Caenorhabditis elegans: one gene and its partner. The protein of the gene in region 2 interacts with the protein of the main gene of each other region in a biochemical or structural test. Each region holds a gene or a part of one and is shown on either strand. Other genes may lie near its edges. The genes, in order: npr-2 and flp-21.

Evidence for each region.
Region 1: the proteins of flp-21 (region 2) and npr-2 interact in a test that uses a peptide from one of them, tested with the Caenorhabditis elegans proteins (one large-scale study listed by BioGRID).

Annotation. Positions count from the first base shown.
Region 1 is NC_003282.8:9,576,264-9,583,800, forward strand, and holds the start of npr-2 (G-protein coupled receptors family 1 profile domain-containing protein), read right to left. Parts: upstream 3,859-7,537; 5' UTR 3,790-3,858; coding exon 3,748-3,789; intron 221-3,747; coding exon 134-220; intron 1-133.
Region 2 is NC_003283.11:7,789,828-7,795,665, reverse strand, and holds flp-21 (GLGPRPLRF-amide), read right to left. Parts: upstream 2,300-5,838; 5' UTR 2,297-2,299; coding exon 2,212-2,296; intron 2,162-2,211; coding exon 2,092-2,161; intron 1,927-2,091; coding exon 1,881-1,926; 3' UTR 1,641-1,880; downstream 1-1,640. UniProt on the Caenorhabditis elegans protein: FMRFamide-like neuropeptide. Involved in modulating locomotion quiescence during the sleep-like state called lethargus which occurs during molting between larval and adult stages, acting via the G-protein coupled receptor npr-1.

The DNA of each region.
Region 1 (7,537 bases), on a different chromosome or scaffold from region 2:
ATATGAAACTAAAAGAAAAAATGCTCTTTTGTTGTGTCATGGGACCGAAATTCCTGTAAAAGTAGAACACTTTTATTTTAGAAATTTTTCAGACTTCAATATCTAAAATTTTTGTGCTAACAAAAAGGCTAACCTGCGAAGAGTGCAGTTGAATCAACTTTCTTCTCATTTCTTGTAGCATTCGAGTACCATCTGATTGTCGCAGCATGTTTTTCAACGCCTGAAAATAAGAAAAATAAGGAACAAATCTGAAAATGACAAGGGCTTCCAGTGAAAAAATGGCTCTGAATTAAGAGGTGTTTTTCTTTTAAAAAATTATTTTTTTCGGTGAATGATCATAAATGAGACGATGATGTCTGAAATTATGACAAGATGAAGGTGGGAGGAGCGAATTGTTGGAACAGGATTAATATTCTCAAGAATACGTGGATTTCAGTAAGAATTTGCTGATATAAAGGAAAATTAAAAATCTTTCAAATATTAAATTGACCTTTCGAGAGCTTTTGAAACTGAATATTGTCCTCAAGGTAGGGAATAAAAAATGATATGATCAGTGGCAAAATTGGGTTTTTTCGAAGAATTAAATCCAAAATCTTGAGCTTTTGTTACAAGAACCATTTTCAGGAACTCTCGCTTTGAAAAAAATGGTTTGCGATGCGAGTCAGTAATTATGGAAAATGTTTCGTGGGGAACTGTGGAGTTCAACAATAAATTTTAAAAAGTGATATCACGAGTTAAACTTTGAGTTGTTATAGCTCATTGACGTAAGTTCTTACTTTTATTTTTCTTAAAACTGCTTCCATTTGCGAGAAAAAGAATAAATATTTCATTTTTCCATCTCATGAAAAAACCTCCTCAAAGATCATATCTTAACGGGAGATGGAAGCAACTGAAGGAACTTTTTTTACTAGTTTTCTTGTTGAAATTTTTTTGCTGTAAATTGAGCTCAAAATTCAATTTTCTGAGCAATTTCCGGCACAAATTTCATTTCCTTTTGGGTCATGTTTGTGCATGTTCGGGAAGAGAAAGATGAGGTCTCAATTTTCAAAAAATTTCCACCGATTTGTGTTCTATGGATTTGAATATCCGAAAAGGTCATATCACACCAAGGAAATTATGAAAAATATTTAATCTCTGAAAAGCTGAAAAGATAATCAAAATAAAAGTTGTCGTGGGAGTTGAACAGGTGAATTTTTCTTTGAAAGCATATAAAATTTTTTGTGATAGACTGACTTTCAAAAATTTGTGATTAAAGGCAAAATTTAAAAAAGTGTTTCAAGATGAAGTAGATTCATTACTAATAATGCAAACTTAGCAAAATTAGTATTACGAACAAGTTTTAAAATTTTAAACATTCCAGTCAACGTTTTGATAACTTGCAAAATTTCCAAAAACTTCGGTTTTTAGAACAATCTCTCGTGTTTGAGCTCCCTATCTTTAATTACTAAATGTTTTTTAACATAATTCGAATATTTAAAAGGGAAGAGTTTTTTCGGGTCAGCTTTCAAAATTATGAGTTGCGAAAATTGAGTAATCACCACTTTTTGACTGTAAATAATTGAAATAATTAAACATTTATTTCAAAAATTTTCTATGATATTCGGTAATTTCAGCACTGAAAAGTGATCTTCTAACCACTCCCTTCAAAGGAAACATTCCACTTTTGACATTTATTTGGAATTACGTAGCTATATTCATTGCGGATCTTTTGATCGCAGATCTTGCCTCACAGAAATCGTACGTGGAATGTACGGTTGACTTAGTACAGTTGGGAGCTTTTCTTCTCGTTCAGCTCTAGAATATCAAAATGAAATTCAAGCTCAACGTGGGAAATGACCGGCTTTGTAAACTCTGTCTGTGTTTTTAACAACATTTCAGCAATTTAAAAACATTTCTGAAATTCTTAAAGCAAAAGAATTAGAATATTTGAGAACGCGTCAGTTCCTTTATAGAAACAAAGGAAGCACAAAGTTCATAATGTAAAACAGGAAAATGCCGAGGCGACAGAATTCTTCATTTTCTCGCCGACAACTTCATGTTAAGTTCTTCTTCTTCTCCGTTGTCGCATCATGAGAATTTGAATAATTCAGTGGAAAATGGCGAGGATGACTGGTTTGACACGTATATTGCTACGAAGAAAATGAAGACGTAAAAAAGGTTTCTTTTAGGATCAAGGCAAGAAAACATAAAAGTTGTCGTGTTTCTTTAGTGACTCATTTAGATAATGGATAATAATATATTCTTGGAGTGCGTATAAGAGATTGAACCTATGATTTCAAAAGTAAATAATTTAGTTTACTTATAGAAATTATTTTCTTAAAATATGCACATACACTAAAAGTATTCAGAAAAACGTTTTCAGCACCAACAATAAAGATAACTTGTGGCTTTAAAGTTATTTTGGGAGAAATCAAAATTATGACCATTTTTAAGCAAATAAAGATTTAAAAAATGGAGTCCCGAATAAACTTCTGCGTTTAAAAGTAGGTATTGCAGAAAATTACGAGTACACGATGACTTGAACCTATTGACTAATTTCAAATTGCAGAAAATTACAATTCGAATTTATCTAATAAGCTTGTGAAAAAATAATTTAGAATATTCCTTAATGAGGAAGTTTAATCTTTGAGAGTTGTTTATCGTTGCGATATTCAAATTTCAATGGCTTCAAACAACGAGTTTGAAGTCCTACAGTATCTATAAAAATTAATTCAAGTTTAGATTTTAAAAAATAGAAACGGAATTCGTTCAGTTTATCTTCAAATTTTCATGTGATAGCAAGTACTTTCGTTTTAATCTTTTTTTTTCAAATAAAATAAAACTAAAAGGATCAATTTTATTGAAAACTTTAAAAAATCTTAAAAGCTAATTAATAAAAATATGGGCGTTGCAGGACACTTTCAAAGAACATGAATTGCTGAACAAACTTGTATCTTTTGTTTTAAAAATATTCGTATGTCAAGCTCAAAGTCTCACAAATATTACAGTTTCCGGTATTTTCTAAAAAAAAACTAACTGACGGTTTAGTAAAATTTCGATTCATATGAAGGTTTTATTTGTAATTATTGGAAAATGGAAATCCTCAAAAAATATCCGGGAATCAGAACTTTTGGCACTTGTGTGTTTGCCCAAAATCGAAACGACTCGAAAACGACGATCGAAACGACTTTCATTTTTTGGGAATTTCTACGAGTTCACTAATTTGTTTTGTCTGGCTCAAAAATCAACGCGTAAAAAATAAAATCTTGCATTGTTCAGTTTTCTGACCAACAACAATAGAACTCTTGGTTTTGCAAAACTAACCGATTATAAATTCCAGGCATTTTAAATAACAAATGTTTTTAAAAAATTACTGAAAAGCGAAAAAAAATAATGTGAATGAATATTCAGAACCAGCTGAAATCTAAGATTGAAACCTTACATTTCCAGAAAAGTGTGTGTGAAAAGAATGAAGCCGTGGAAAAAGTTCAGTCTGATCAGATATTGACTCAATCTTTAGATTTTCTCAAAATTCAAAATCATTATAAGAACTGTGATTCAATAACAATATCTCCTTAAATGCAATTCACAGAAATTTAAGCTCTGATAATTTTTTTTGAACGAAATGTAACCTAGTTCAAGCCAATGTTTCCACAAAATTCACCTTTAAATTCATAAAAATTATGTACTTTCTAGAAAAAATCAGAAAAAACCATAAATGCTTTTTGTTGAGTTCTGTATAGTATTTTAAAACGTTAAATCACTTACCAAAAGGTCCGGAGCCTCAACACGTGTATTCACCATCGACATTATGAATTTACAGAAGTGAAATGAAACTAGTCGACTTTTCTCTCCAATGGAGGCGTTGACGTTGCTCTCCTGCAAATAATATGACAATTATTGTTATACGAATAATTTTACTTTTTATTGGATTAAATGTGCTTTAATCAAATGACGTAGAAAATGGAGTTTAGAAACTGAAAAAAGGGCACAGAAAAAAAACGTTAGAAAAATAAAGGCGTTTAAGTGAAAAACTGAAATTTTGATGGCGGAAGGAGTGATTAGAAGTTAAATCTGAAGCGAATCCTCTTAAATAAAAATTTTGAGATTTCCAAATGTTCTATAAGCTAAACGAGAAAGCTGCAAATAATGCAATTTTGCATTAAATAACAATCAAAATGTCAAATTTTGAAGGCTTCGAATACTTCAATAACTCATATCGGAAATCTGTCGTAGAAATTTAAATATTCAAAAATATTCAAAAAACCAAAAAAATGTTTTTTTTTGATATTAGACAATTCATTTTCGACATTCAAAACAAAATAAATTATGTTTTCATTGAAACTCGATTCTTCCCTAAATCCATTAGTAATGCTCATACGAATTTAATTTAAGCATACTCGCCTTCACATAATCGCAGTTTATTTTGAGCTATAACATGATTATTTACAACGAAACGAAATTCCAAAAGCTCAAAAAATCTCAAATATCGGAAAAATAAGTAAGCTGTAATTTTATCTGCCATGCTATTATCTATTCTAGCCTTTTCTGAACAGATTTGTCATTCTGATCAGAGATTTCAAGCGAAAAACAAAATGAAAAGTGTTCTCTAAACCACTTGCTTTTAAAATTTAAAAAACCGACTAAAAATTCACATCAGTCTACCTCTTCGTGCATCACATTTTGCACTTTTTGCCAGCAATTCATAAATAATTTAGTTGAAAGGCACAAAACGTTCGGAGATTAAGATTGTTCTTTTTCACTGCGATTTTATTTTTTAACTAGCGGCGGAAAAAAATCTTGCAAATTTGTGTCTGTGTGTGCCCACAAACGTCATCAAAAAAGTCGTTTATACTATTTTAGAACAAAAAACATCAGTACAGATTATTAGATTTCACAGAAATACTATCGTACGAGAAATCAAATAACTGAAAAAAAAAACTACATTAAACTTTATATTTTTCGATGAACACTTTTTTGCCTATTTTATTTTGGATTAAGAGTAAGCATCAAGTTCAAAATAACAACTGGCAAAAAATTCATGGAATAGAATGAAACATTCTCTTGAACAACGGAACAAGGCATTTACCCTAATCAACTTTACGATTCCACGTCATAATCAAGAATTCAAAGAAAAAATCTGAAGATTTTATAAGAAAGAGTTGGAGAATAAGGAATACATGGAAATGATATGCGAATGAGAGACTATAATTTATGAGAAATGATTCCAAGTTGGGATAGATTCCACATATAATTTGAATTTCTTTAAAGGGTATAATTATAAATAAAATGGCAAACTGAATGTGAAATAGAGAAAAAAATATTCGTCAAAAAAGAATAACATGAAATGGTTATTGTTTCGAAGTTTTATATGAAAAATATTTTTTAAAAAAAGTAGCAAATTTATTGGAAGTTTCTTCTCATTTTCAGAAACACTTTAAATACTGTTTTAAAGAAATTATGAATAAGCATTGTAACTGAGCTTTGATATTGGGAGTATCATAAGTTTTCTATAATATTGATTTAGGTATTCTACGAGATCTGCTCATTTTCGTCCTCCTCCTTGCCAACTCGGGCGCGGAAAGGCATTAAATCTTTAAAAAAAGAGGTGGCTTTATCCAAGTGCTAAAATTACGTACAAAAAATGCAAAAAAATTTTAAAGTGAAGAAATGCAACGTTTTCTTAGATTACACTGCAATTCACACGTCAAAAGGATTAGGACGAGTAATTTAGTAATTTCAAGCAAAAAAAGGGGAAATCAAGCAAAAAACACCCTGTTGAACCTCCGATGGTTTTTTTTTATGTTTTGCTCGTATTATTCACTATCAGGGATTTCTTTGATATTTTCATTATTTATTTTGGATAGTCGGAAAATATTTGTTTTGATAATTTTAATCAGAAAAAAAAAACAAAAGAGTCAGATAATCATTCATCAAATTTCAACAACCAAAAGTTACATTTTTGAACAAAAAAAAACAAACAAAACGCTTACCATTTACATTTATTGTCAGTTAAAAAAAAATAATTCTTTTTGAATTTTCCTGGAAATTTTGTAAGTAACATAACATCTGTACAGAGAAGAATATTCATTAGTGCTCTTCTACTTTTAGAATGTGTTTTTAGAAATGATGAGTTTTTACTTCCAAAATAGAGCGCAGAAAAAGTGGGCGAAAACCTTAATTTCTGGCGCTTTCCAAGAAAAAATAAGTTTGGTTTCATGGGACTTTGTCTGTGAATAAATTTGATGAATAAAGTAATGTGAACACTTTTAATTTAAAATTATTTTAAAAAAGTGTTTGAATTGAAAGTTTTTAAAACATCCATAAAGTAAAACGGAAGTGATGTAAGAGTTTGAAATACTATTAGAATTGAGTATTAGACTCCATTGTACGTAACAGACAATTAAAATTCTCTCAATTATATGAAATAAATTTAAATTTCAGAATTATGACACATCCCACGAGAACTTTCGAGCTTATTCATCAAATTATATTGTTGACTAGCCATTAGAAATGTCATTTCTGTTCAGAGTATTATATTATTGGTAAATATGGTGTCATTGCGGAAAATGATGTTATAATTCAAAAATTTCGACTTGTAGTTCAGAAACTGTGCTGGTATTGGAAAGATGTAGGAATTAAACTTAAATAAAAACCTTGAGCTTTGCATATATTTTCATAAACATTCATATTTAGAATTCGAAAATACTCTTCAATTTGAAAACATTATAAAAAGTTAATCGTTTCAAAAAATCTATCTCTTAAAAAGATCAAGAAATTTTAGACAAATGAGAAATTATAGAAAACAGTTGATTACAATAGAAAAAATTCCATTAGAGATTTATCAACCAAAAACAAGGAAAAAAGGAATTATATTGCATCTCTTGTGTATTCCAAATCTTCATTAAATGAACAATTGTAAAGTATAATCAAATAAAATTACTATTCGAGTTCTAAGTATAACCAACGACCAAGCTACATTTAAAAAAAATGAACAGAGAGGAATTATGATAGCTGGAAATTGAGTATTCTCTAATTTTGACTGTAAAAATAAAAAAAATAAAAAAAAACACACTTAAATTTTTGCGGAATTCAAGTATGGTGATCTTCACTGAAGTCTTATTAAGGTGTACTTCACAATTTTAAAAATTATGTGTCACGTCATTTAGAACTCTGAACTTGTGATAGGAAACGATGTATAATTTATAAATTAATTGAGTAGTGTTTGAGAGAAAACATAAGGAAGAGTGAGTGAAAGAGAATTTCTGTTGGGAGTCACGACATAGTGAGTAATGAAAAAAAGAAGAAACAGCTGAAAACCGACGACATATAAAGGGTTCCAGACACTGTTTTAGGATTTTTCGGCGGCTGGCTGTTCAAATATTTTTTGATCTCTGAAATTGAGAAGGAGGAAGAGAATAGGGACACATCTGAAAAGGGGGAAGAGAGAAATATATGATTGACTATAATTTGAGAGCAAGGAGCAATACCGATCAAATTTCAGAATCTGGTGGGAGGAGGACGGAAGTCATGAGGAAATATGAATGTTGAATTGCAA
Region 2 (5,838 bases):
AAAAACCTGAAAACATTTTACAGTATTGTGTTCTGATGTTTGGAATATTGTAATTGTATTTAGGCTCTGAACAAAATATACTTCTTATAAAATTTTGAGACAAAATTTAAAAAAAGCCAAACTTATTAGAAATCTAACCGAACGAATCTTCTAACAATGTTCTATAATCTTTAACCATTATTGAAACACTTTGAGACAGAATTAAAACAAACATAAAGCAATTTCAAAGCTTATTTTGTCACGATTACACTTTTTCAACCCACACATCATAGATGAACTTCATAGATAAACATAAAGAGAAATATTTGAACCTCTAGCTTTGAGATAAGGGTAAATTTGAAAATTGACTCTAAAAAAACTCATAAAAAATCACAAAATTGAACAATTGAATTTGTAGAAAATTTATAAAAATGATGCAACTTATCACAGAAGTAGAAATACAATTTTTTGGGCAGAAATATTTTTAGAAAAATTGTTATAGCAGTATTTAGCCACTTATAGACAAATCTCTTCTATAAATAATGTTTAAAAATCACACCAAAGAACTCTTGAATATTGGCCAAAGTCCAAGTAGTTCGTCTCATATTTCTAGACGTTTGTGTTTTGAATTAAATATTTAACTTTCCAGATTCCCACGCCCACTCAATTTCAATATTTTTAAAATATTTATTTTTGGTTTTAGATTTTGAAAATAAGCTTAAAAATATAATTAATCTGAAAGGTCCTGTATTTTGGTCTTTACCTATATTTTTTTAAATAGAAAAAAGCTTATTGCGATTTGAACCATTTGTCTGATGAATACCTTGTTTACTCGTTTTTAGAGCTTTTAAAGCTCATTTTCTTTGTTTGGATGAGATTAATGTACAACGAGATCCTAAAACGACAATATCTATTACGTAATTTACGAATATTGAGTTAACTAAAAATGAATAAGGCTGAAAATAATGTGATAATTTTTTAGGGATAACAGAAATTTGTGCAGAGATCGAAGCAGGAGTTTGTGGCCCCGAATGCTGAATTGACCAAACTAAGAATTTAACGTTAAAATGTATTGTTGAAAAACACTAGAATTTTTGCTCAAAATATGTTATTTTCTGTTTTCGCGGTAATCATAAACCGAATTGGATATTTTATTTTTTCGAAACTTTTGCAATCGGCTCGGCTTTGGTAGGAAACTATGTATAAGTACTACTTTATCTTCAATTCTAGGGAATTCTCGGTTTTATTGTGAATAAAATCCCTAGGACTGATTTTTTCCATGTATTAATTGCCATACGAAATTTCTCGGAAAATGTTCTTAAAAATCATCAAAAACCAAAATTCAACGATCATTACACTTTCCACAAAACTACAAAATTGGCACCCAAAACTCAATTTCAGGAGCTTTATTACTATATAGTCGGCACATTATGTTAGAAATTCAAGAGATAGACGCCTCAATGGATTTATTACGGCAACTACGATCCTTGAAACAGTATCCATAATGTTTGTTCAACCCCTGCAGGGAAGACACCAACTGTTTCATTAATGTAATCCTGACTGATTTTCCCGGATTCTACCATTACAGTTGCAGGGTACAATTGCACAATTGGAAAATTCTTAAATATAAGGGCACTCATAAACTTAATAAAAAGTCAAATGTCAAACTGAAAGCTGTTTTTATTTGTTCAACAGAAAAAGAGGAAGTGAGATAGAAAAAGAGAGAGAGAGTAAAAAGAACATTGTTTCTGCAGCGTTTTCAAAGAGAAAAGGAGAGGATAGATATTTCTTCGGAATTGGAATTGTGGAGTGTCTGGAACATCATTTTTGTATAAAGTTACATTGAGAGGAAAGAGAGAAAATGTTGTGTCATGTTGTTCGTTCGTTCGAGCAGCAACCGTTTATCCAAATCGGAGAGGACGAGGACCGAGACCACGTTTCATTGATCTGAAATTTTAAAATTAGTTTACTTTTTTCTGAATCGCAACTAATTTATTCTAGCTGAATGCTCGTATTTCGGTAAATTATTAATTATAGCGATTTGCAACTTATTCTACAGTAAGACTTGACTTAATAAAGATGTCTATCAGAAAATAATTAAACTGGACCTACCCATGATCGTCTTCGGCAACATAGTAAACTCTGTCACTGCCGGGTCCGAATTGCTCCAAATATGCGTTCACTGAAAAAGATTAATGATTAATCTAAATCTTTAACTTTGACAAAACTTACAAACGCGGAGCGCATCTTCCTGATCGATATAAGGCGCTGCGAGGACCCACGCGAGAAGACACGAAAGCAAGATGAACAGCCGCATCGTCTGAAAATGACTTTTTGGATTTTGGAGCAATGAGAGGGTGGGAGATCAAACGTTGAATACACAATCAAATCTTAAATAGTGTACATAGTCATCGTTGTAAATTTGCATTTGTTAATGAGATTCTTGCGAAGCATGATGGGATGGGGTGGAAAAAAAGAAGTTTTGAGATAAATAGTAAGACGGAAGTGATCACTACGGTAGCTTTGAAACAAGAAATGAATATTTCAGTGTATCCCCTTCCAAATCTACTGGACTACTCACAAAAATGACCTTTGCTCCAAGAGCAACCACCCATCCTAGAACCTAGGCAAATGATACATCGAAATGTTTTTTCAGGTAAGATGATGTTATATGTATACGTGATTCCGGTAAAAGTTTTTTCTGGGAACTATGAGGAGGGTGTATGTGGTGGGAAAACAGGATAGCCCAATATTTATTGGGCACGTCATACTCGTTGCAGAGCATAGTTGAGGTGGCCGGAAATCGCGTTAAAATATGCTATGACTTGAAAACAACAATGGTCCTATTTTGGAAGATGTAATTTTACGCGATAATTCAACGAGAGATTGTAATAAAGACGTGTAGATTTTGAGTAACCATAAAATATGAAAAATTCATGAGTATTACAAATATGCAGTTTTTGGAATAAAGAAAATAGCTGACTTGAAAAATCTACTGCTCGATGACTTTGTCTAATTACGGTCTTGAAAGAAAGCAAACAGCGTCTTGTGCATTATGAGGTTTTTTGAATAAAAGGAAGTGTGCTCCGCTTAATTAAGATAAACATGTTTCAGTGTAAGTAGTTGGTCCCGACTGTAAACGCATCAGAAAACTTTAAGGTGAGAACAGTTGAGTTTCAATGCACGTATTTGATACAGCCAAAAGTTATTAAACTTTAATTGAAAAGTAGAGATTTCCACAACACATCTAACCTTTTAAAAATGTGACAGTTGATTTGAAAAAAAAATCTAGGACTGAACTAGGAAAACTGTTGACATACGTTCTTCTTTCTTTTCCCCTTTAATACCACATTGTTTTGGTCAAAAAAGTCTTTAAGATTTTTAATATTCGCAGACATCTCAACCAAATGAGGAACAGTCACAATGAAGACCACCTCAAAATGCATGTAGGTTCTTCTTTTTTCTGATATTTTTGCACAGCCTTCCCCAAAACATTCACAAACACATAAAAAACACCAACCAATTGATATACCCACAAAAGTGATGTGAAGAGCAAGTGGGAGTAAGATAAATGTGATGAACGATGAGGTGGAGGGTAAAAGTGATGAGAAAATGTAGTCTTACAAATATTCAAAAAAGTTGGTAGTTTTTGATACGATAAGTTTTCGATGAAAACCAAAAAAAGAAATAAAGAAGCTTTATGAGCCGAAAAAAGTAGAGATTTCCACGATTATCGAGTTACTTCGGGGCACATTTCGTCATCATCGAAGAAGAGGAAACAAATTTTCGTTGGCTCATTGACTTTCAAAGTTAAACTTCTTTAGAGAGTTTAGCGAGGCATAAAAACTTGAAAATTTTGTAATTTTTGGACTCGGTTTCAAACTAAAGAATGGAAAAACTTTTCCCTGTCCAAATGTCAAAGTCGCATAAAAATTGTCATTGGTAACAAAAAAAGTAGTGTTTTAGTGGGTCAGTAGATCAAATTTAACATTTGGCAGGTGAAAGAATTTGTAGAGGTACACGTCAAATGCTGGTTTTTGACGCGTTTTCTCCAAGATCTCTTATATTTTGGTTTTGGAAATATCAGCATTTTACGAAGTGGCCACCTAACAATTACAGACGAGTATTCACATCACCATATGTATTTGTGATTTTTCGAGGAATGATATCGAAGACTGAAAATTAGAATAAAATTCCAGGATAAGAAGGCTTTGGCTTAAAATCAGAGCTTAAGCTATTAATTTGTCATTTTATTATTTACGAAACAGCGTTCAGACAGAAATGTCATAGACTCCACAGTAATAAGACAGACGAGTGATCAAAGTTCCGTACAATTTACGAGAGTAATTTCTTACGACGTAACTATCAAGAAATAGGTGACTGCGTTTACATATTTCCGGTTTTTTTGTGAACCTAAAATGATTTTCAAAAAAAAATTCTACTGCGGCAAACACAGACATTCGGACAAGAGAAAGGTACATAGACATGAAAGCGTACCTGCCTACCATGAAAGTTATAGGCCAAACTTAAGGTTACGGTATTTCTAAAAAAAAGTAAGGCAGCGGAAAATTTTTGCCGAAATCGCCCTTTGCCGTCCACCCTCGGATCTAACAATATACAAATAGCCAGCTCGTGTAGTTTGCCAAAATTTAATTCGAAATTTGTTTTAAAAAAATGCTTACAATGTTAAATTGGAAAACCGAGTTTCCAAAATTTTGCTACACTGGGCATAGCGCAGAAATTTTACGCAAATATAATAAAAGTTGTCCTAGAACAAATGGACAAAAATTTGGACCAGGTTCAGAACGTTTATTGATGTTTGGGAAGGCTTATTTTATGCCTACACGCCTGCATGTGTATTTTTTGTAATTCGTCAAGACCTCATTTCAATTTAATCTTTGAAAAAGTGTACTCTAGCTGTAGGCCCAAGGTAGTAGTTTTTGTATGAGAAAAATTAGAATGACTGAAAAAATTTTTTCCACTTTCGGTCACTGGACCTAGTTTTCATTGAATATTCTGCAGCAGAAGATATGTAGACCGTGAAAGTATAAGCTCTGAGAATCAAATTAACAAATCTTGTAGCAAGTGATGATAACTGGAAAGTTAGAACAACATATGTAAAACTATAATTATAGACAACAAATTTGTCATTGAAATAACAATTTTATAGATCATTTTCCGAAAAAAAAGAAGCGATGAACAACTAGACCGACTTGAATCGTCCCTTTAGTATCTGCTGCGGAGCGGAACTTTTAGCCCCGCCCTTCTTATTTGGGCTGTACATGATGGGCCCATCCATCAATTTTATGAATACCCTCCCCGCCCGCCCGTCGACGTGTTTTGAAACGAGACGCACACGAATTTTTAATAATAATGTCACTTGACTACTACTTAGTAACTACACGTATTACGAATTTTTGGAAGTTGTCTGGTGGGGGGAAGTTTGCAGAAAAGGGATAACTTTTGGAGTTTAGAAAAACTACAGTATACTCTTGTGAACGAGGAACTCTTGCCGTACACTAAACAATGGAATAATTCAATCGTATTTTCGAGCAAAACGTAAAAAGGGAAAGTCATTGTAGCAGGACAGAACCGGAAACAAAAAAAGCATCGGACATAAAAAAACAATTAAAGAATAGAAGAGAATGGAATAAGCGAACAATGACATGAAAATTGGATGAACTAGAACACATGTGCACGCGAGTTGTAAGTTATGAACTTGCACTTGAGAACCATCAACTTTTATTGAGCCAATTTTGGAATGGCGAGGAAGATCTAGGGTGTACACTAAAGGATGGTAATTTGAAGCGCTTCAAAGGTGAAAAAAGTTACTCATTCTTATAGCTTAGAATTAAACCT